Rattus norvegicus: one gene and its partners. The protein of the gene in region 2 binds, or shares a complex with, the protein of the main gene of each other region. Links are inferred from orthologs where the notes say so. Each region holds a gene or a part of one and is shown on either strand. Other genes may lie near its edges. The genes, in order: Plaat3, Kras, Ralgdsl2, Sos1 and Mapkap1.

What was found.
Region 1: the proteins of Kras (region 2) and Plaat3 are in contact, whole or in part, in a crystal structure (PDB 7C41), measured with the Homo sapiens proteins. The link is inferred for Rattus norvegicus from reciprocal best matches to the Homo sapiens genes KRAS and PLAAT3. Residues at the interface, in NP_001356715.1 of Homo sapiens: Ala11, Gly13, Lys16, Ser17, Tyr32, Asp33, Pro34, Thr35, Ile36, Thr58, Ala59, Gly60, Gln61, Asn85, Asn86, Lys88, Asp92, Tyr96, Lys117; in NP_001121675.1 of Homo sapiens: Leu65, Tyr66, Asp67, Val68, Ala69, Gly70, Ser71, Asp72, Lys73, Tyr74.
Region 3: the proteins of Kras (region 2) and Ralgdsl2 are in contact, whole or in part, in a crystal structure (PDB 8B69), measured with the Homo sapiens proteins. The link is inferred for Rattus norvegicus from reciprocal best matches to the Homo sapiens genes KRAS and RGL2. Residues at the interface, in NP_001356715.1 of Homo sapiens: Ile24, Gln25, His27, Val29, Glu31, Asp33, Pro34, Thr35, Ile36, Glu37, Asp38, Ser39, Tyr40, Arg41, Lys42, Tyr64; in NP_004752.1 of Homo sapiens: Ile651, Arg653, Glu660, Asp661, Gly662, Ser663, Val664, Tyr665, Lys666, Ser667, Ile668, Leu669, Lys685, Lys686, Asn688, Arg689.
Region 4: the proteins of Kras (region 2) and Sos1 are in contact, whole or in part, in a crystal structure (PDB 8BE4), measured with the Homo sapiens proteins. The link is inferred for Rattus norvegicus from reciprocal best matches to the Homo sapiens genes KRAS and SOS1. Residues at the interface, in NP_001356715.1 of Homo sapiens: Ser17, Ala18, Ile21, Gln25, Asp30, Glu31, Tyr32, Pro34, Thr35, Glu37, Tyr40, Asp54, Ile55, Leu56, Asp57, Thr58, Ala59, Gly60, Gln61, Glu63, Tyr64, Ser65, Ala66, Met67, Arg68, Asp69, Gln70, Tyr71, Arg73, His95; in NP_005624.2 of Homo sapiens: Lys602, Trp809, Thr810, Lys814, Leu822, Met824, Ile825, Arg826, Thr828, Thr829, Thr832, Leu833, Leu872, Val875, Ser876, Asn879, Ser880, Ser881, Pro882, Tyr884, Ser908, Asp910, His911, Tyr912, Lys913, Phe929, Phe930, Gly931, Ile932, Leu934.
Region 5: the proteins of Kras (region 2) and Mapkap1 are in contact, whole or in part, in a crystal structure (PDB 7LC1), measured with the Homo sapiens proteins. The link is inferred for Rattus norvegicus from reciprocal best matches to the Homo sapiens genes KRAS and MAPKAP1. Residues at the interface, in NP_001356715.1 of Homo sapiens: Ile21, His27, Val29, Glu31, Asp33, Pro34, Ile36, Glu37, Asp38, Ser39, Tyr40, Arg41, Leu56, Glu62, Glu63, Tyr64, Ser65, Ala66, Met67, Asp69, Gln70; in NP_001006618.1 of Homo sapiens: Phe280, His287, Gly288, Phe289, Ser290, Leu291, Ile292, Gln293, Lys307, Lys310, Arg311, Arg312, Lys313, Gly314, Ser315, Phe363, Glu365, Ile369, Val374, Met377, Leu378, Ser380, His381, Tyr484, Glu487, Ser488.

What each region holds. Positions count from the first base shown.
Region 1 is NC_086019.1:214,210,699-214,214,687, reverse strand, and holds the start of Plaat3 (phospholipase A and acyltransferase 3), read right to left. Parts: upstream 2,810-3,989; 5' UTR 2,783-2,809; exon of another isoform or gene 2,687-2,782; intron 2,387-2,686; 5' UTR 2,333-2,386; coding exon 2,324-2,332; intron 1-2,323. UniProt on the Homo sapiens protein: Exhibits both phospholipase A1/2 and acyltransferase activities. Shows phospholipase A1 (PLA1) and A2 (PLA2) activity, catalyzing the calcium-independent release of fatty acids from the sn-1 or sn-2 position of glycerophospholipids.
Region 2 is NC_086022.1:179,929,166-179,932,674, reverse strand, and holds part of Kras (GTPase KRas), read left to right. Parts: exon of another isoform or gene 1-282; coding exon 283-442; exon of another isoform or gene 443-3,509. UniProt on the Homo sapiens protein: Ras proteins bind GDP/GTP and possess intrinsic GTPase activity. Plays an important role in the regulation of cell proliferation.
Region 3 is NC_086038.1:4,955,327-4,959,629, reverse strand, and holds the start of Ralgdsl2 (ral guanine nucleotide dissociation stimulator-like 2), read left to right. Parts: upstream 1-1,494; 5' UTR 1,495-1,571; intron 1,572-1,774; 5' UTR 1,775-1,816; coding exon 1,817-1,972; intron 1,973-3,015; exon of another isoform or gene 3,016-3,149; intron 3,150-3,240; coding exon 3,241-3,324; intron 3,325-3,561; coding exon 3,562-3,740; intron 3,741-3,845; coding exon 3,846-3,896; intron 3,897-3,980; coding exon 3,981-4,278; intron 4,279-4,303. UniProt on the Homo sapiens protein: Probable guanine nucleotide exchange factor. Putative effector of Ras and/or Rap. Associates with the GTP-bound form of Rap 1A and H-Ras in vitro.
Region 4 is NC_086024.1:20,338,113-20,341,621, forward strand, and holds part of Sos1 (son of sevenless homolog 1), read left to right. Parts: intron 1-409; coding exon 410-532; intron 533-844; coding exon 845-948; intron 949-2,164; coding exon 2,165-2,387; intron 2,388-3,456; coding exon 3,457-3,509.
Region 5 is NC_086021.1:38,112,008-38,116,222, forward strand, and holds the start of Mapkap1 (target of rapamycin complex 2 subunit MAPKAP1), read left to right. Parts: upstream 1-1,410; 5' UTR 1,411-1,783; intron 1,784-4,215. UniProt on the Homo sapiens protein: Component of the mechanistic target of rapamycin complex 2 (mTORC2), which transduces signals from growth factors to pathways involved in proliferation, cytoskeletal organization, lipogenesis and anabolic output.

The DNA of each region.
Region 1 (3,989 bases), on a different chromosome or scaffold from region 2:
TGGTGGGAGGCCCAAGTGGCCCACTGGGTCACCACTGGATACCATTGGCACGCTGGCCTTTCAGAATTCAGGTTTCAGTTTTAGTTCTCATTTCCAGGAAACACTCATTACTGTGGGCGGAGATGAAAGGAACTTTCATCCAAACCTCCTCGCCAGTTAGAAAGTTGAGGGCAAGGAGAGAACTAGGCTGAACTTTTCCTGCCACCTCCTCCCATAAAGCCCTGCCCAGCGGGCCACTCTTGCCTCCCACCACCAGCTGTGCATTTTTAGTTTGGATTAGGGCTTTGTTTTTTAAACTTTTTTCCTCCTCTACTTTATGCGTATGGGTGTTTTGACTGCATAGGTCTGTGGATCCCATGTGTACAGCACCCTTGGATGTCAGGAAAGGGTGTCAGGTCACTTGGGATGGGAATTACAGCCCATTCTTAGCTGGGCTAACATATGAGTGCTGGAAATTTAATCCAGTCCTCTGGAAAAGCATCCAGTGCTCTTAACCACTGAACCATCTCTTCAGCTCTGTTTTCTCCCCCCCCCCACATTTATTATTTATTTGCTTGTTTGTTTGTTTAGGGTTTTGTGAGACAAAGTGTCTCAGCAAAGCCTTGGTTGTCCTGGAACTCATTCTGGTTTCAGGCTAGTCTCAAACTCAGAGATCCATTTGCCTCTGCCTCCCTAGTGCTGGGATTAAAAGCATGTACCACCACTACCTAGCAGTCATGTTTTATTTTGTTTGAAACAAGGTCTCTCTACATAGCCAGGATAGCCTCCAACTCTGCATCCCGAGTGGCAGGGTTACAGGTATGTGCCACTATGCCCACCTTCCTTCACACCCCTGTAGATGAAATGACAATACGTACTGAGCTAGGGCAGGAGAAAGGATGGTGAGTCTCCATCTTAGCCCGAGAAGAGAGGAACCATCAATGAGATCTAATAACTTCTATATAAGCCTGCAATTAGTGCATATTTTTTCTTACTCTTTTAATTTAAAAAAAAAGGTGGGGCATTGATATGGCTTATCAAGTAAAGGAGATTGCTGCTAAGCCTGATGACCTGAGTTCAAATCCCAAGACCCAAATAGTGAAGACCTGCAAATAGCTCTCTGACCTCCACATGCTTGCCATGGCATATGCATGCCCCCCCCAAAACACACACACACACACACACACACACACACACACACACACTCAAATGTCACACACACATACATATATACAAATATGCTTTTTAAACTGTCTACTACAAGAAAGTTAAATCAAAGAACACACAGTTGCACAATCAAAACACACAACTGAGACACGCATGTATTTTGCTAAGAGTCAGTTCCTCATGGCTCCGCAGAGTTCAAGCTTTAGACACAGTTTACAGTGCTAACTTCTGTGGTCTTGGGTTTTCCTGGGTTCAAACAGAAAACAAAACAGCCTGGCCTCACAATACCAGAAACAGAAAGTGCAGCCTAGAGCTAGACCCTTGGGCTGTTATGAGAACTGCTAAGTGGTGTTTTCACGTGGGAACAGAATAAATTTGAACTTGATTAAACAGGTACTTAGCTGGAGCACAAGCCCCAGTCTGCAAAAACCTACAACCTGAACCAAGTCAACAGAGCCCTGTTAAAGTGAAGAAGACATTTGCCTGGTTACATCTCAAGACATCAAGGGTTAACAAACAGAGTCCTGGGCTGGGGTGTGGCTTGGTCGGTAGAGTGTTTGCCCAGCATGCAGAAGGGCTTCACAAAACTGGGTATGGTGCCTCACATCTATAATTCTAGCACTCAAGAGGTGGAGGCCGGGAAACCAGAAGTAAAAAACTGTCCTCACTAAATAGCAAGTTTGAGGCCCAGCCTGGGCCACAAAAGCAAAAGCAAAACAAAAATCAGAAAGTTAAGAGAAGGGGGGATGGAGGGAAGAAAGAAGGAACGGCCAGAGCTGAGTATTTGCTGGCAGCAGGGATGGCTGTGAGTCAGCTGACAAGACAAAAATCCAGCAGATTCAACTTCAGACATTCGACCCAGGAACCTGCCCAGGGTCCTGGTTTGACAGGAAGACCAACCCCCAACTTCCCTCCCTCTTCAGTCTCCTATTGAGCCTGTTACAAGGGTGGCTTCCAACCTGCCCACTTCAACAAGCACTGACGCTCAACAGGTGGCAACTGACCCCGCAGCTCATACAGGATCCCCGAAGGGTTGAAAGTATAGCTCCCTCATTACAAAGCTCTTCTCTTCAAAACAGCAAGTCAGACCCCGAGAAGACAAGAGTCACCATTAAAACACTACCTCCATCCCTAACCCACCCTCTCTCCTCTCCCTGTCCTCTCACCCTGTACTTACTATGGGCATTTTCCTTTCCAGGATATGTGAGGCTCAACTTCAGCTTAGCAGCGCCGTGGATGCCTAAGGAACAGAGGATCAGAGCTCATTATGTCTCTAACTAAAGAAGCAGGGTCCCCAAGTCTCCAGGAGCTGAAACGCTTTTAGCAGGGCTCTCCAGAAACGCCCACCAAACTTTCTCGCTCTCCTCCGCTCTGCCCTGCGCTTGCCCTTGAATCGACAAATCCCTCGCTGTAGGGCAGAAGCGGCTCACAAGATCCCTGGGCTCCCTGGGCTCCCGCAGGGTCCCTGGCCAGGCACTCGCGCGCCCCTGGCTCCTTTTTTCCGCGCACGGCGGATGCCAGGCGGGTGACAGCTACTCGCCTGACTTGTTTATGCCCGACTTGTTTACGCCTGCCGAATCGCTCTCCACCTCCCAGACAGCCCTCGGGGACCCGCAGAGGCACCCGGGCTTCTCACCTTTGTTTAGGTCCCAGAAAAAACTCTCCAACCTCCTCACGCCCCAAGTAGGCAAGTGGAGGCCGGCGCATTGGGGGCCGGCTTAATGGCCCCAGAGTCCAGGCCGCGCCAGGTCACCCCGCCCCTCCTCCCGTAACTGGCTAATGAGAGCAGCGCCAAGGGCCTGCTACTCTGTTCTCATTTAGATGCCTCCCTCCCGCTGCGTTCCTGGCCTCTCTGCTCCTCTGCCCCAGATTCCCAGGCCCTTGACAGCTCATACACAACCCTCGGTCAGTTTGTAACATATAAGAACATGTCACATGGAGTTACATTTAATCTTTTTTCATGAGTGACAGCAAAGGGCTATTTGTCAAGAGTGGCACATGCTTGAAATCTAGCATTTGAGAAGCTGAAGCAGGAGGATTGCCATGAGTTTAAAGTTAGCCTGAGCTACGGTTGGAGATCTTGTCTCCAAAATAATAATAGTAGTAGTAACAACAACAACAATAACAACAACAATAATAATAGCAACAATAATAATAATAGCCAGGTATAGTTGTTTATGCCTTTGTTTCCTGCGCTCAGGAGACAGAGGCAGGCTCATCTCTGTGAGGCTAGCTCTATGTAGTGAGTTCCAGGAGTGCCAGAGCTATGTAGAGAGAGACCTTACCTCAAAAATCCAGAATATAATAATAAAAATAAAAATAAGAACAACAACGGTAAATGAGGAGATGGCTCAGAGGTTAAGAGTACTTGCTACTACCCCATAAGAACAATAATGCCAACCAACCAGAGCTTCCAGGGACTAAACCACTACTGAAAGGCTGACCCAGGGCTCCAACTGCATAGGTAGCAGGGAATAGCCTTGTTGGGGCGCCAGTGGGAGGGGAAGCCCTTGGTCCTGCCAAGTTTGGACCCCCAGTGCAGGGAAATATGGGGGGTGCAGTAAGGGGGATGGATGGGGGGAATACCCGTATGGGGGAGGGGAAGGAGGTGAGGATTTATGGATAGGAAACCAGGAAAGGGAATAACATTTGAAATGTAAGTAAAGAAATATATATAATAAAAACAAAACAAAACAAAACAAAACAAAAAAAAAAAAACCAAAAACAGGACAATGTGATCGCAAGGGGGAAAAAAAGTACTTGCTACTCTTGCAAGGGACCTCAGTTGGTTCCCAGTATCCACGTGGTGGCTCACAACCATGAGTAACTCAGTTCCAGGGGAT
Region 2 (3,509 bases):
ACATACACATTTATGTATATATATCTTGTTTGTAAGATATTTTAAACATTTTGATTTGAAACTTTAGTATATTTCTTATTTTATATATGCATATGAACAAACAGATATGTAAGGTTTTTGTTTTAGAGGGAAAATAAGAGAAATGAGGACATTTTGGTAGGGTAGAAACTAGGATTCATATGAAGAAACGATTCAATACAGTTTTGTAAGATGAAGTTGAGGTCAAAGTTTGAAGTATTTTTGTGTTACTTATGCTTCTGCTTCCATTTGTTTCTTCCCCAGAGAACAAATTAAAAGAGTAAAGGACTCTGAAGATGTGCCTATGGTCCTAGTAGGGAATAAGTGTGACTTGCCTTCTAGAACAGTAGACACGAAACAGGCTCAGGAGTTAGCAAGGAGTTATGGGATTCCATTCATTGAGACCTCAGCGAAGACAAGACAGGTGAGTGCCACCGGAGAGATGTGCGTCTACTCTGCCGGGTGCTCCAAATGATGCTCACCACTGTTCTCCATTTCCAAATGGTGTCATTGGGGTCTACTTGCCACCATAACTATTGTTACATGTTCCTCATTTCATGTGATTCTCCAGTCTTTCTATTATTCTAACATAGAAAATAATGTTTATTTGGCAAATGTCTTCTCAAGTAGATAGTACTTCTTATCTAGGAACCACAATATTACTTTGGATCCCCCCACCCCCCATGTGTGCACAGGAGAGAGGGGGGTGTAGATAGATGGTAGGGGTTGCAATGGTCTCTGTACCCAGCCTGGGGTTGTACTCTCAGTCCCCTAAGTCTGTCTTGCAGGTGCTGGGATGACAGATGTCCTCCACTATGCCTGGTATTCCGTTTTCTTTTCATTTTGAAATTGTTTCTTCTGCCTAGAGTACATTTTACATTTAGGATTCAAGAAATGTGGAAATTTTTTCCCACTGAAATGATAAAGACAGAATGATGGAATAAAGTTTGACTTTCCTGTTTTAGAAGCAGTTTTTAGGATTTGTTGAGTTGTATTTGAAGAATTATTTTTTGGCGGAAAGTTTTTGAGGGTCTATTCTTCAGGGAGAAAGTTGTGATTAAAGTAAGGGAATATTTAGAAAGCAACTAGATATTCTTAAAAAGTGAGTTTCTGTAGTCTGACTGTCTGTGGGTATCTCCTGCGTGCCAGTTGGCTCACAGTTTACTTAGTTTCTAGAGACTTGGTGTGCATCACTCGGCTTCAGGGTAGGGAGCTATTTTATCCAAGTCCATCCCGCAGTCCAAAGGCACGAGAGGTTTGTTTCTATGTTCTATTTCCAAGTCTTCTTGATTTTATTTAGAAGCAGCCCAGAACATATAATTATAATATCTGTAACTTTTCCCTAAGTCCTCCTATGAAATAATTCAATGTAAGGAATTTTATTGAAAACATACTGTATAGATTTTACCATTAATACTTTACTCCTTCAATTGTTTAAACTTGCAAAGGCACCTTTCATACTAGTGAACATCAATCATAGTTGACATTTCATGGAGAAAAGGAAAAGCCCGAGACTGGGCTGGCTGTAAACACAGAAGAAAGGGCCTCTTGGACTAGAATATGCACACAAATCAGCTGACCTTATTAAAGTCAAAGTCCAGACATTGTGTTTGTGTTGAAGCCCATGTTGCGCATTCCTTTGCATTGTCGGGTGGTGCTGGTTGGAGAGTTGGGCCACAGTTTGAGTAGAAGCCATAGAGCACAGTGAAAGGAGTCTCTTGGCTTATCATCTCTGGGTTGCTCTCCACCTTTCATTTGGTAAGAGCCTTAAATAGCTCTTAAATAGCTTAAATTTAATTTATTATTTGTGTTTGACATTAATGCTTTGGTATACTGTAGTTCATTATTGATTTAGAACACTACCTCCTCTCCTTTTAAAATAGCTTTCTAGCTTTAACAGTGTTTTGTGGGGCTGGGGATTTAGCTCAGTGGTAGAGCGCTTACCTAGGAAGCGCAAGGCCCTGGGTTCGGTCCCCAGCTCCGAAAAAAAGAACCAAAAAAAAAACCAAAAAACCAAAAAAAACAGTGTTTTGTGACACACATACTACCAACACCTTTAAAAATTTAGAAATTTAAAAATTTGTTTTGCTTTGTTTATGTTTGGTTTTTGTGTTTTGACAGAGACAGCCCAGGCAAATCTCAGACTTACTATGTAGTAGAGGCTGGCCTTGAACTCTCGCCTCTACCTCCCATGTGTTGGGATTACAGGCATATGCCACCATGCCCAGTTCATTTTGTCAGGTTAAAGGCATACGGTATAGAAATAGATGAACTTAAATTTGGTTTTTAGATAGTGTAAGTTGTCTAACATGTATAGAGTTAAGATATACAGACACTTCTTAAGCCGTGCTTAGCCCTTCTTGTATTTATTCGTAATTTATGGATTTTTTTATACAATATATTGCCTAACTATAACTTGAATGCTCACTTTTCACTAGACTTGTTTTAGAAATTAATTTGCTTTGAAAAATCATTAATAGTTCTTAAAAATAATTTAATATTTTAAAGTTTTGGAAGATTTTAAAGAGCTACTCCAAATAATTTTGGTAATTTATAATATCCAAGGTACATTTTAATAAATTTTACCTTCAATTTTGGGGAAGATTTGGAGCTCCTTTTGGGGAGTATTTTGTTACTGTCTTTTATTTGCTTATTTGTGTGTGTGTGTGTGTGTGTGTGTGTGTGTGTGTGTGTGTGTGTGTGTATTTCATGTATGTGAGTACATTGTCGCTGTCTTCAGACACACCAGAAGAGGACATCAGATCCCAGATGGTTGTGAGCCACCATGTGGTTTCCGGGATTTGAACTCAGAACCTCTGCAAGAGCAGTCAGTGCTCTTAACCTCTGAGCCAACTCTCCAGCCCTGCTTATTTGTTATTTTAGCTACATATACCCGTCCTTAATGTATTTGTCTGCTTGAAATTTTGTTGTTTTTCCAGCCTAACAAAAGCACCACAGACTTGTATTTATGGTGGTAGGAACTGAACATTTCACTGAGAAGTTCTGTGATACAAGTCAGGGCATGGCAAGCATTTTCTACAGAGACCCAGAGAGCAAAGTGGTATCTTAAACATTATTTTCCCAAAAAAGCCTTGAAAATTAAAACTGCTTGTCAGCTAATACCAGAGCAGTTGACCCTGCCCGTATTTGGCCTTTAGGTTGTAGTGTGCTAGTCTCAACCTTTATAGAAGGCAACCGATGAGACTCCAGTAGATGCACAAGACCTTCGACCTACAACAGGCTGATTTTACCATTTTAAAGCTAAATTCATATATTTAATGAAAGAAGTTATATTCTATTTTTAAGATATAGGTTATAGAATACATATTTTTATCAGTACATTTTTGCTAATTTTAAATGCATATTACCTTGCCACTATATAATGATTAATAGAATGTGTGGGTGTGGGTGTGAGCATGTGTGTGTGAACACATGTGCACACCCACATGCTTTTTGCCCACTTTGAAACAGGGTCTTGCTGTGTTGCCCAG
Region 3 (4,303 bases), on a different chromosome or scaffold from region 2:
GCCCAACGAATTTTTTGTTATGTGGGCTACAGCTATTGGAATAGAACTAAAATTTTAAAATGTGGGGGAGAAAAAGCGAGGCTTAGTTAGTGGCACACTCATTTGACCCTGGCAAGGCACGTGGCAGAGGTACGTGGATTTCTGATTTCCATGCCAGCCTGGTCTACAATAAGGAGTTTCAGGTCAGTCAGGGTGTCGTAGCAGGGCTTTGTTGAGAGAACCAAATACAAGAACATATATTCACAGGTCAAGAAGAACCACTGGGGGTTGAGTGGTAGAGCGCTTGCTTAGCAAGCGCAAGGCCCTGGGTTCCGTCCTCACCTGGGGGGGGGGGGGGACGGGACACTACTGTATGCCCTAGAGAGGCGGTTCTTAGCCTGTAGGTCATGACCCCTTTAAGTCCATCGGGAATACCAGACATTTATTTACATTAGGATTCACAACAGTAGCAAAATCAGTTTCGAAGTAACAAAAGAATTTTACAACTAGAGGAACGGTGTTATAGGACTGTAACATTAGGAAGGTTGAGAACCACTGCCCAGGGAATTGACGATAGGGCCACATAGCATCTTAGCGTTCTAGGGACCTTTGGGACAACCCACAACAGTAGTCTAGAGACGAAGGGGTACATGTGTCGCCTATGGAGTACTAATGCCTACCTCTCCAGCCGTCCATTCGTACCACAGAGTTTCCTTTGCCTCGTCCTTTCACGAGCGTCCCCCGTGCAGTCCACCGGCTGTACTTAAAGGATGGCTGTCCACTCCTGTCTGCCGGGCCTCGTGAGCCAATAAAGTCTTTTAGAGTTTTCATGAGGGTCTCTCGTTCTCTGGTTTCCAAGCACAGCCAACATCTTGGTCCCCCTCCAGTCTTCCCACACGCGGGGCGATGACACAGCCATCTTAGGAACTGAGTGCGCTCTGGCGCACCGCGAGAGCCGGAGGCCGGGAGCGACGGACCAGAGTAAAACCGGAAGTGGCGCACTAGCCGACTTCCGTCCCCCTCCCCGCGCGAGTGGGCGGGCTTAAGGGCGGCTCAGAAAACTCGGCGCGGATTTGCTCCGCTGCACTCGTGCTGGCGCGGGTGGTGTCATTCTGGGGCCCCAGTAACGGGGTCGCGCCCTCACTAGGGCGCTTCCCTCGGGAGTTGCTGCACTCACTGCTCTCGTTAGAGAAAGTGATTTAAAATCCCGTACTTGCCCTCCCGTGGAGGCTTGAGACAGGACCCTGACCTCCCGCCTGCCTGTGCTGGGAGGCATGGGCTTCGGAATCCCCGAGTAGGGTAGTAGGGGACAGTGGAGTGGGGCACCTGGAGACTGCGTCCCAGCCCCTGGCATCCAGCACTCCCCTAGTCGGTAGCCCTGGCTCCTGTCCTCACTTCCTTCCCTTTTTGGCTCCTGCTGTCGGGCGGACGCGGGGAGGGGGGAAGCGGAAAGGGCGGGAGGGCCCGGGAGCCCGGCGGGGTGCAGGAGGGGGCATCGCGGAAAAGCCAGGGAGGGGACTCGGTAGAGGGCCAGAGACCGACAAGAACAGAGGCCCGGGACCCGCGCGCAGCCCCTCACCCTTCCCGAGCAGGTCAGAGCCGGAGCACCGGGTGACCCTGCCCATTCCGCAGTAGTTATGCCCCTAACCCCTAGCACGCCCCGAGGGCTCGGGTTTCCCTACTCCTGTATCTCCCCTCCCCCCCAGCCTTCCTGAGGGACTCCCACCCAGGTCCCTTCGTGCCCAAGTCCCCACGCCCGTCTGACTCCACCCCAATCCCACCCGTCTCTCCCCAGGCACCCCCAATGGCCCGACCCCGCTGATTCCTTCTCTCGGCCATGCTCCCGCGGCCCCTGCGGCTGCTTTTGGACACGAACCCCCCCGGGGGAGTCGTGTTGAGCAGCTTCCGGAGCCGGGACCCCGAAGAGGGTGGGGACCCAGGTGGCCGGGCCGTGGGCGGGGGGCAGGAGGAAGAGGAGGAGGAAGAAGAAGAGGTGAGACGCGGGTGGCGGGAGGAAAGGCATTAAGTATTTCTGAGACTCTTCTCTTGGTGTTTCTGGGTCCCTCGGTCTCTTCCTCCCTGCCTCCCTTTCACCCCGCCACGCTCTTTCTCTGGATATCTGTCCCCTGGCTGCGGGTCCTGGTGTCTCTGAAGTTCGCCCTGTCCGTCTGACTCGGAACCCGCCCGCAGGAACCTGCCGAGTTCCTGCCTGGAATGTCTGGCTGGCAGGCAGGATGGCTGTGCCTGCGGGGCTCAGGCCCCCTCTGCCCACACCTGCCTCTGACGGCTGCCACTGGGCAGTTAGTTGTGTCTTGGTCCCTGTCTCCCTCCTCGTTTTTGTTTGGCTGGGAGGGGTTTGTTTCCACAGTAACCGGCTCCTCAGACTCTAGGATTGGGGAGGGAAGCCTCTGGCTTCACCGCCTCTTCCCCCACCCCCTGGTGCTCAATAAAGGGCAGCGAGCCAAGAGGTTCTGGCACCTGGAGAGATGATCCCAGGATAGGTAGAGCGTGGTCATCTTCGTCCTTAGGGATTAGTAGTTGTGACTGTAGCTGCAGGATTTAGGGTTTCAGGAGGGTTCAGAAGTTAGAATCGGAGCCTGAGGACTCAGACTTCTGGGCCCCGACATTGGTAAAGTTAGGGTGACTGGCAAGGCTGGTTTTTCGGGATCGGTCGGGGGAGGGGCTAGGGCCACATGACTCTTAGTCTACCGCCCCCACCCCCCCATCATCCCTACTTCCCCTTCTTGTAACTGGGATTGGAGCCGCCACCTTCAGGGGGTCCCCAGTGCTGAGATTGAGTGGAAGCTGTATTGGGGATCCGGGGAAGGGAGTCTGCGGAATTTGGGCTCCTCTGGTTCAGTCAGGGAGGGCGGGTCTTGTGAAGTTTCAGCTTCAGGTCTCTCCGCCTTTGGCTTTGCGCTTCTTCGGGCGCTCTGCTTGTGACTTTGCACCCCGCTTTTCTGCTGTGTTGGGCTCAGCTGTGGGGGCAAGGGGATTTGGGGGCGACCAGAAGTGGGGTTCCTGCATTCAATTGAAACCCCGACTCCAACCTCTTCAACGGAGCTCTGAGGTGGCTAGTGGGGCTGTCTGAGCCCCAGGGTGGGGTAGACCTGGGGTCACCAGTACCCTCTACCCCTCGAACTCGCTGGTATTGTCCCCTGCCATCGCAGGTGAGGGGTGCAGAGGGAGGAGCAGGGCCTGGGGACGATGGCTGGGGACTGGAGGTGCTGTGGAACTCACTTCCTCTTCTTGCTCCTCCAGGCTTCTGTGTCAATCTGGGATGAGGAGGAGGATGGTGCGACCTTTACTGTCACAAGCCGCCAGTATAGGCCTCTTGATCCCTCGGTGAGATCATAAGCTTTGCGGTCCTGACATTCAGTTTTTAATTTGATTTTTTTTTTTTTTTTTTTGGCCAGAGCACTAGATTGGAGGTCTGGTAGCACTCTTGTGTGATTTAAGCCATGTCTGAACTCTGAACTGTGGAGAAAAAAAAAAAAAAAAAACTAGATCTGGACTATCCTAGATGATGTTTAGCAGTAAGATTGAGGAGACCATCAGTGAGACACCCTCCATGTTCTCCAGGCCCCCTTGCCTCCGCCTCGCTCCTCCCGAAGGCTCCGTGCTGGTACTCTGGAGGCCCTGGTCAGACACCTCTTGGATGCCAGGACATCAGGGGCTGACATGACGTTCACTCCAGCCTTGCTGGCCACCCACCGGGCCTTCACCTCCACTCCTGCCCTGTTTGGGCTTGTGGCTGACAGGTCAGGAGCCAAGGGTGAGGAGGCTCCTGGATTCCCTCTGAGTAACTCTCAGCACCCGGGTGGGGGCTGAAAAAGCTGCAAGGTAGACTCTCTCCTCCTTCCCAGGCTGGAAGCCCTCGAATCGCATCCTCCGGGCGAGCTAGAGAGGACCACAGGGTGAGTGGCCCTGTCTGAACCGCAGTCTGCTCAGAGGGAGCTGAGGCTGGACCTCTGACCCCTGGCTGGTTCCCCTTCTCTCAGGGTAGCCATCTCTGTACTTTCAACCTGGCTGGCCTCTCACCCTGAGGATTTTGGCTCTGAGGTCAAGGGTCAACTTGACCGGCTTGAGAGCTTCTTGCTTCGGACAGGGTATGCAGCACGGGAGGGTGTTGTGGGGGGCAGTGCTGACCTCATCCGAAACCTCCGGGCCCGGGTGGACCCCCGGGCCCCCGACCTTCCTAAGCCCCTGGCCCTTCCTGACGATTCCCCTGCTGACCCCACGGATGTCCTGGTGTTCCTCGCTGACCACTTGGCCGAACAGCTGACCCTGCTTGATGCGGTGAGACCTTGACCTTTGACCCCAC
Region 4 (3,509 bases), on a different chromosome or scaffold from region 2:
GAAGCGCAAGGCCCTGGGTTCGGTCCCCAGCTCCGAAAGAAAGAACCAAAAAAAAAAAAAAAAGAATCAAGTTTCAATCATTAGTCACCCTTAAAATTATATGTACTGATTTAAGAGTTCTCTACAACTAAAAATGGACATTAGCCTCACTTGTTTTAAATTTTACATGTATTTTTATTTTGCTTCTAGTTAGTTTTAGCTGTTGGCAAAACTAACTTTTTAAAATATTAACTTTAAAAAAATTATCATTAGCTTTTACCTTATAAAAGTGGATTTTCACTGATGTGTCTGTATCTGTAGTAATTTCTTACATTATTCTCTTGATTGTACTGATAAGTATAAATAAAAGTTTGGGAATTTGGATTTGATATAATATTTTTGTTATTTTTTTTTTTCTGTTTTCTGTTAGATTTGAAATTCCAGAGCCTGAGCCAACAGAAGCTGATCGCATAGCTATAGAGAATGGAGATCAGCCCCTGAGCGCAGAGCTGAAAAGGTTTAGAAAGGAGTATATCCAGCCTGTACAGCTGAGGTAAGACTGTACTGAAGACCGTCTACAGGCTCAAAGCTGGGCAGTGGTGGCCAATCCCAGCACTTGGGAGGCAGCGGCAGGCCAATCTCTGAGTTCCAGGACAGCCGGGGCTACACAAAGAAACCCTGTCTTGGGAAAAACAAAGCCCTGGGGGAAAAAAGTGGAAATGTTTGAAAACTGTTGCTAAGCAAAGGTGAAGGGGAGCAAACGGAGTGGGTTAAGTCTTATCCGAGTCCTTACAGCTTTAGGAGACCGCTCGCCAGTCTCAGCGGGTACATTTAATGTTTGATTCTGTGTTGCATCAATGCACAGGGTGTTAAACGTGTGTCGGCACTGGGTGGAGCACCATTTCTATGACTTTGAAAGAGATGTAGACCTTTTACAGAGAATGGAGGAATTTATTGGAACAGTAAGAGGTATGTTTTTCTTAAGTTCTTACTTTTATATGTGATAAAATTACCAATATGGTTACTGTCAATTGACGCCGTTATAGCTAATTTAAAAATGTTAAACATTCTTATCACATAGCATTTAGGCTGGGTGTGGTGGAGTATACCTTTAATCCCAGTACTCAGGAGGCAGATGGGGAGGATTTCTGTGAGTTTTAGGACAGCCAGGACTACAGTAGTGAGACCCTTTCTCAGAAAACAAAACAACAAAACCCAGCATTGGCAGCTGCTGACTCAGCATACTGTCATCTGTTACAGAACTGGTTCTGTTAGTCTCAGGCTAAGCTAGAACACTTAATTGAAACTTTGTTTACCCTGGGTACAGGCTGGAATTCTTTTACGACTGCAACACTTGTTGATAAAGGCGCATGGTTAGGTAAATAGAGCAAGTCAAGGAGATGATAGTATATCACACTGACAGATTGCTTTTTAACACCACTAATCAGAAATATAATTTTGACTCTTTAGATTCATTCAGTTTACTTATGAAAAAGCATGAGAAACTACAGTTGATTATCTTCAGAGTTTCCCTTACTTTAAAAATTCTGTGATTATATGACTCCCAAGTTTGCCTAGACAAATTTGGTTTTATATCCATTGTCCAGTCAACATGAAAATCAGAAAATACGGGTTGGGGATTTAGCTCAGTGGTAGAGCGCTCGCCTAGGAAGCGAAAGGCCCTGGGTTCGGTCCCCAGCTCCGGAAAAAAAAAAAAAAGAAATTGAAAAAAAAAATCAGAAAGTACAGGGTTACATAGATTATTTCCTGTAAGTACATAGGCACACAAAAATAGAAACATATGATGAATCAGTCCTCATAATTGGGTTATAAAGTACAGTATTAGTTAGATATGTGAATGTATGGAACTTATTCTTGTTAATCTTTCATTTTATATGGAATATGAATGTGAAACTAGTATTTTGAACTAAGATTCAAAATGTTGGAGGCAAAAAATCAAATTACTTTTAGAATGTGTCTAGGAAAGGTCTAGCTTGACCTCACACTATTCACAGTGATTACCTGTGTGGAAAGGATGAGGAGATTGGGGAGGGACTTACAGGATCTGCTTTGCTCATTTGAACTTTATAGTAATGATTTATTCCTGTATCACTTGTCTTACTTGAAACATTTTTAAAAACAAAGTGTTAAAGAGTATTTAAATGTTTGTTAAAATGTATTTCAGGTAAAGCAATGAAAAAATGGGTCGAATCCATCACTAAGATAATCCAAAGGAAAAAAATTGCAAGAGACAATGGCCCAGGTCATAATATTACATTTCAGAATTCACCTCCCACAGTTGAGTGGCACATAAGCAGACCTGGGCATATAGAGACTTTTGACTTGCTCACCCTACACCCAATAGAAATTGCTCGACAACTCACTTTACTTGAATCAGATCTATACCGGTATGTTATTCAACATTCAAGCTCAGAAGTTATCTGAGTTCATTGTAGAAGTGGAGTACATTTTGTCTTCTAGTGTTGTCATGAGATGCAGAGGGGGCGGTGTGTGTGTGCAGCATCAGGTGCTGCAGTCAGTCTGGTCCTTTGCCCCCTCAGGCATTACTGATCTGCTTACCTTTATGCTCTTTCAGTTACCCCTGCTTGGTAAGCTTGGTTCAAATCCTGGCAGCACCATTTGCTGGCTGCAGCTTGTACTAACTTGTGGGTCGTGAGGTTTCCAGTGTGTGTGTGATTATAGACCGAGCTCAAAGCAGCCACATAGAGACTAGTGCTCCACAGTGCAAACTAGAGCCACCAGTGAGCTACAGTTACGTCTCGGCCAGCCATGGCCCCTTATAGTTTAATATTATTCATTGATAAAACTATCCGAAAAACATGTTTCTGGTTTGAAATTTTATTTAGAACCTCAAAATTATTAATCACAAAATGAGAAAAAGAGCTAAATTTATAAATCCTTGCACCTACATTTATCATGGTTCCCAAATGATAATGTGAGAATTTTACAGTTCGTTCTCAGACACTTTTGCAGGGTGGGTTTTCTTTTCTACCCACTGTAAGAGCAAAAGCCAACCAAGACTGAATTAGTAATCGCTGTGCCTCGCTGGTTACTCACCGATGCCATTGAAGTGGCTGCCTTCCCGTCCTAACCTAGCAGATAACGTCTGGAAGAGCTAGGGAGGACGGTACGCGGAAGTGTGCGTTAGGCATAAGCACTGGGTGATGTGTGCAGCAGTGCGGCACTCAGGGTGCTGGGCACAGGGAGTAAGGGCCTAGCTGGGCTACATGGGAGACACTGCCTTTAAAGCAAACCAGCGAGGAATAATTGGATTGCAAGAGTGTCTGCCAAAATATTTCTAATCTGAAAACATAAAAAATTATAAATACTCCTTGTTTTCACCAACTTCCTATTGATAAAAGAGCAGCCCTTCTAGAAGTAGTTTAGTTTCTCTTATGTAGTAAACTGTATACTTCAGGAGAAATGTGATGTGCCATTTTATGTTGATGATTTTAGAGCTGTGCAGCCATCAGAATTAGTTGGAAGTGTGTGGACAAAAGAAGATAAAG
Region 5 (4,215 bases), on a different chromosome or scaffold from region 2:
CTCCTGCTTCCTTTCTGGAATGTTGACTGGCTTCGTCTGTGTGCTTCTTGTACAGGTAACCAGAGGTAGTGAGATTTCATGAATGCAGGGAGCTTGTCATGTCCAGAAGGTACTGTTCCCAATGTCATTGATGGTCCTTTCAGTGAAGGTGTGATGTGTCCTGCTGCTGGGTATTTGATCACACTGTAAACCCCAAGACTGTGTTAAGTTACAAAAAAAAAAAAAAAAAAAAAAAAAAAAAAAAAAAAAACAAGCAAAACAAGCAAACAAACCTGTTTTTAGTTGTGGTGTGGCTTAGTCCTTAATTCACACCTTTAATCCCTCCGACTGAAATACAGACGAGCCCGAAATACAAACCTTTAATCTCAAACAACGAAGGTAAAGTTAGTTGGTGAAAGGAAGCAGCCATGTTTGAAAGTGATGTCTAATTGAATGTCAGGCAAAGTGACGAATCAGAAAAAAGATTTGACAGGATAGGACATGCCCAACTCTCAAGAGGAGGTAAAGAGGCAGTTTTACTGAGAAAGTTTTATAGAGACAGGTGAAGACAGAATGAGTCAGAGAACAAGGAGGAGCCAGGAGATCAGTACAGATTGCTTAAATTAATACCACGCCTACCAGAGCAGTTCAGTCGGAAGCTAAGAGAAGCCAGATTGAATCAGTCAGCTTGGAGAGTAGTCTGAGCCAGAATAGCCATCCAACGATCAGAAAGAACTAGAAAGCAGGAGTGCATTCAGCAGGAAGTCTCGGAGGCTGAAAACGTTCTAGGCCTAGATTAGATTAAACAGAGGCTATAAGCTTCCAGGACTAGGCCTAGATTAGCTGACTTGAGTTAGTAAGCCTCCCAGACAACAAATACAACAGGAGAATAAAAGTTATGTACAATGTCCCACTGTGGCTGAGCACTCCACAGACACTTCATCTCTGCACTTTGGCCAGTTATTAGTTTCTGTATTAACCATTGCTGCAGTAAAAACAAACAAACAAACAAACAAACAAACACTTCTCTGATTAGGTCTGAGAGCTTCGCTAATCTGGGATTTTAGATAGTAGTTTAAAAAGCGTTTGGTATGTCCATGTAGCAAATAATAGTTGCGGTGAACTCTTCTTTCTGATATGGCAGTAAAGCTGAAGACGTTTCCCTATAAAAGTAAGCAGAAAATGCTTACAGCGATCCTTAACACTTGACAGTAAACAGAAGTCAGTTAACCTGCTCCAGAAACGGCTATGGGCAGTACGCATGCGCAAGACACCCCCAGACCCCGCCCCTCGTCCCGCCCCCGGGAGGCCAGGGCTTCTCGTTCCTGGCTCTGGGGCTTGCGCACTGCGTCCCCAGCCAAAGGCGTCTTGCCGATCAGGGACTTCCGGTACGCCGGGTACGGTTCCGGGTCGTGGCGCTGCTCTGGGTAACAGGGTTGCTGTTGCCGGCCGGCAGCTGCGGGGAGCGGCGGGGTCATGAGGGCGAGCCCGGGGCGCCAGGGCCGAGCCGGCCGGTAGGATTGCGGGTCCCCGAGGACTTCGTGGGCGCAGGGTTCGGTGTAGGGGCCGGGAGGCGTAGGGGAGTCAGGACCTCCCTCAGGGACGTGTCCTGGGCGAGGCGGCCTGTAGTGCTGGAAGCAGCTTCAGGTAAAGGTTGCCCCAGCCGTCGCCCCCTCGCCCGCGGAACCCTCCGACCCCTCAGCACCCCGCTGTCCTCGCTGTCCAGCGGCGCCCGTTGGGGCCGTGCTCGGTGGCCTGGGAGCATCCGTTTCCTGGCAGCCTGACAGCTGGGTGTGTGACTTAGGTGAGGAGAGACTTTGGACCTGGTGGTGTGGGGGCGGGGGTGGGGGCGTCCTTGACTCTGGCTGTTTCAGGACCCCGAACTCTGCAAGGTCCGGTGCCCACGCTCTATCCTGTGAAAACAACTTTTCAAAGCATTGCCTGGGCAGTCCTGAAACAGTCCCACAGATTGTTTACTTACCTAGAGTGCTGCTGGGAACTTGGATTCCGTTTTTCTGTTTATGGGACTGACAAGGAATGGTTTACCTGTGTGTGTGTGTGGAGGGGGTAGTTTAAAGAAGTGTATAACTCAAGCCAGAAACTATAAGATGAACCAGGGACCTGAAAATTTGTTACAGCCTCCTTTGAATGACCGCAATATTTGAAACTGGCACTGTCCTCAACTCCGTGCAAAACACCATGTTTGTTACAAACCCCAAAATGGCCAAGTTCAGAACCTTCCCAGGTATAAACAGTCATGTGGGCAGACACATCAGTTTAAGAGGTCGGCATTCACATAGCCAACAAAAAAGGATGGGTCTCTGTTTTGAGCAACCCCCAGAGCCGAAATAAAGTGCGTTCGCTATTCCTAGGTTTAGGAGCCACACACGCTGTAGTCAAAAATTCTTTCTCAGTGATAATTGCACCCATCTTTTTCAGTCACACCCCCTCAAGCTTACTGGACTTTGGGGAGCTGTGTACTCATATATGCCTTTAGCTAAATGCACTGCCTCTGTGACCTTGTGGCTCTTGGCAGCTTTTTACAGTTAACCTTTTAAAAGCTCCACTGTGCTCTTAACCACTGAGCCAACATCCTTTGGATGTTTCATTTAGTAGGCATTCATTGTGCATGGGTATAGGTCAGGTACTGTATGGCAGTTTCATAAGTGAGACCCAGTCTTAATGTGAGCGGTTACTCCAGTCTACAGAGACACGGTGTGAAAGTTTTTCTGTCATACAGAAGTAGTATGTCATGTCAGGTTTTTGAGAGATGACACTCAGTGAAGGGAACGAGCATAACGTGAGGTAAATGAGTTTCAGTTTTTCCTCACTTAATCATTTTAATTCAGGCTGACTGACAGGAAGACACAGGATAGTTGCACAGCTGGTATGAGACGGAGCCGCCTTCTTACCAGGACACACCATGCAAGTACATATTGAAGCAGCTGAGTAGGAGGGAGAATAACACGTTGAAGTGGAGAGTGCAGACAGTCCTCTAAAGGTAGACAAGGCCTGTCGTAGCTGCTTGGTAGGCTGAGGCAGCAGAGTACTTGCACAGATTGCATGAGCCAGCCTGGGCATGGTGAATGGCTCAGTGGTTAAGAGCATGGGCTGCTCTTCCAGAGATCAGAGGTCCTGAGTTCAGTTCCTTGCACCCGCATGGCAGCTCACAGCCATCTGTAACTCCACTTCCAGGGGATCTGATGCCATGTTTTGGCCTCTGTGGATGCTAGGCAAACAGGTGGTGTTTATACACACAAAAGACCCATATACATAAAGTAAAAAAATGCTGCATCTTTTTTTTCCCATATGGAGAAGTTTAATGAGAGAAGAAGAGTAGGAGAGGGAAGAAGTAAAGGCAGACCATGAGCTCGTGGGGGGGGGGGGGGAGGGATAAAGGGGAAGAGGGCAAGAGAGCAGAGAAGAAAGAGCAAAGAGCAAAATGCTACATCCTAAAAAGGGGGGAAAAGCATATTGTCTTTCATAGCATGGAGATAATAGGTGGGTACATGAGTGGAGGATAGATAGGCATGGTCTCTGGCTTTGTGTTTTGTGTGGCATGCTCTCCTCACTAGATATGTGACCTTTGCTAACTCAAGCCAGCGTTTTATTCTTCTTGGGAATGGAGTACTATGGATATTTAGTAAGCTGATCTGAATTAAGAACCAGGGCTCACCCCATCCTCCCAACCCTCCAGTGTGTCTGAGGCTAGCCTGGTCTACAAAGTGAGTTCCAGGACAGTCAGAGCTACACAGAGAAACCCTGTCTCAAAGAAGAAAGAAAGAAAAGGAAAGAAGGAAGGAAGAAAGTAAGAGGTAGAGCCTGAGTCTGTGGCTTGGGCTTTCTGTGAAGCATTATAGATTGGGATTTCAAGTTAGTGACACTCATCTAGTAAAGTCTAAAAGTACTCCAAAACTTAGAAAAAAAAATCCAAAATCTGAGAACATTTCTGACGCCAAGCATTTTGAATAAGGAATTCTCAACTGGCAATTGTAGGTCTGCCTAATATTAGTTGTAAGGCCTCTGGGATATAGTCTTAGAGGGTGAGTCGGTTTCTAGTCCGAGTAAAGCAAGCCATTGCACATGTGTTTAAACTGTTAGAGACTTATTGGAAGTCAGTGTCCCATGAAGTCTTACTGAAAGCAAATTACAAAAGCTTCAGTCCCATCACCAGGATATTGCCATTCTTGCTTTTAGCAGGCATTTGAGATGTAAACCAGAGAACTCAAAGCCAGG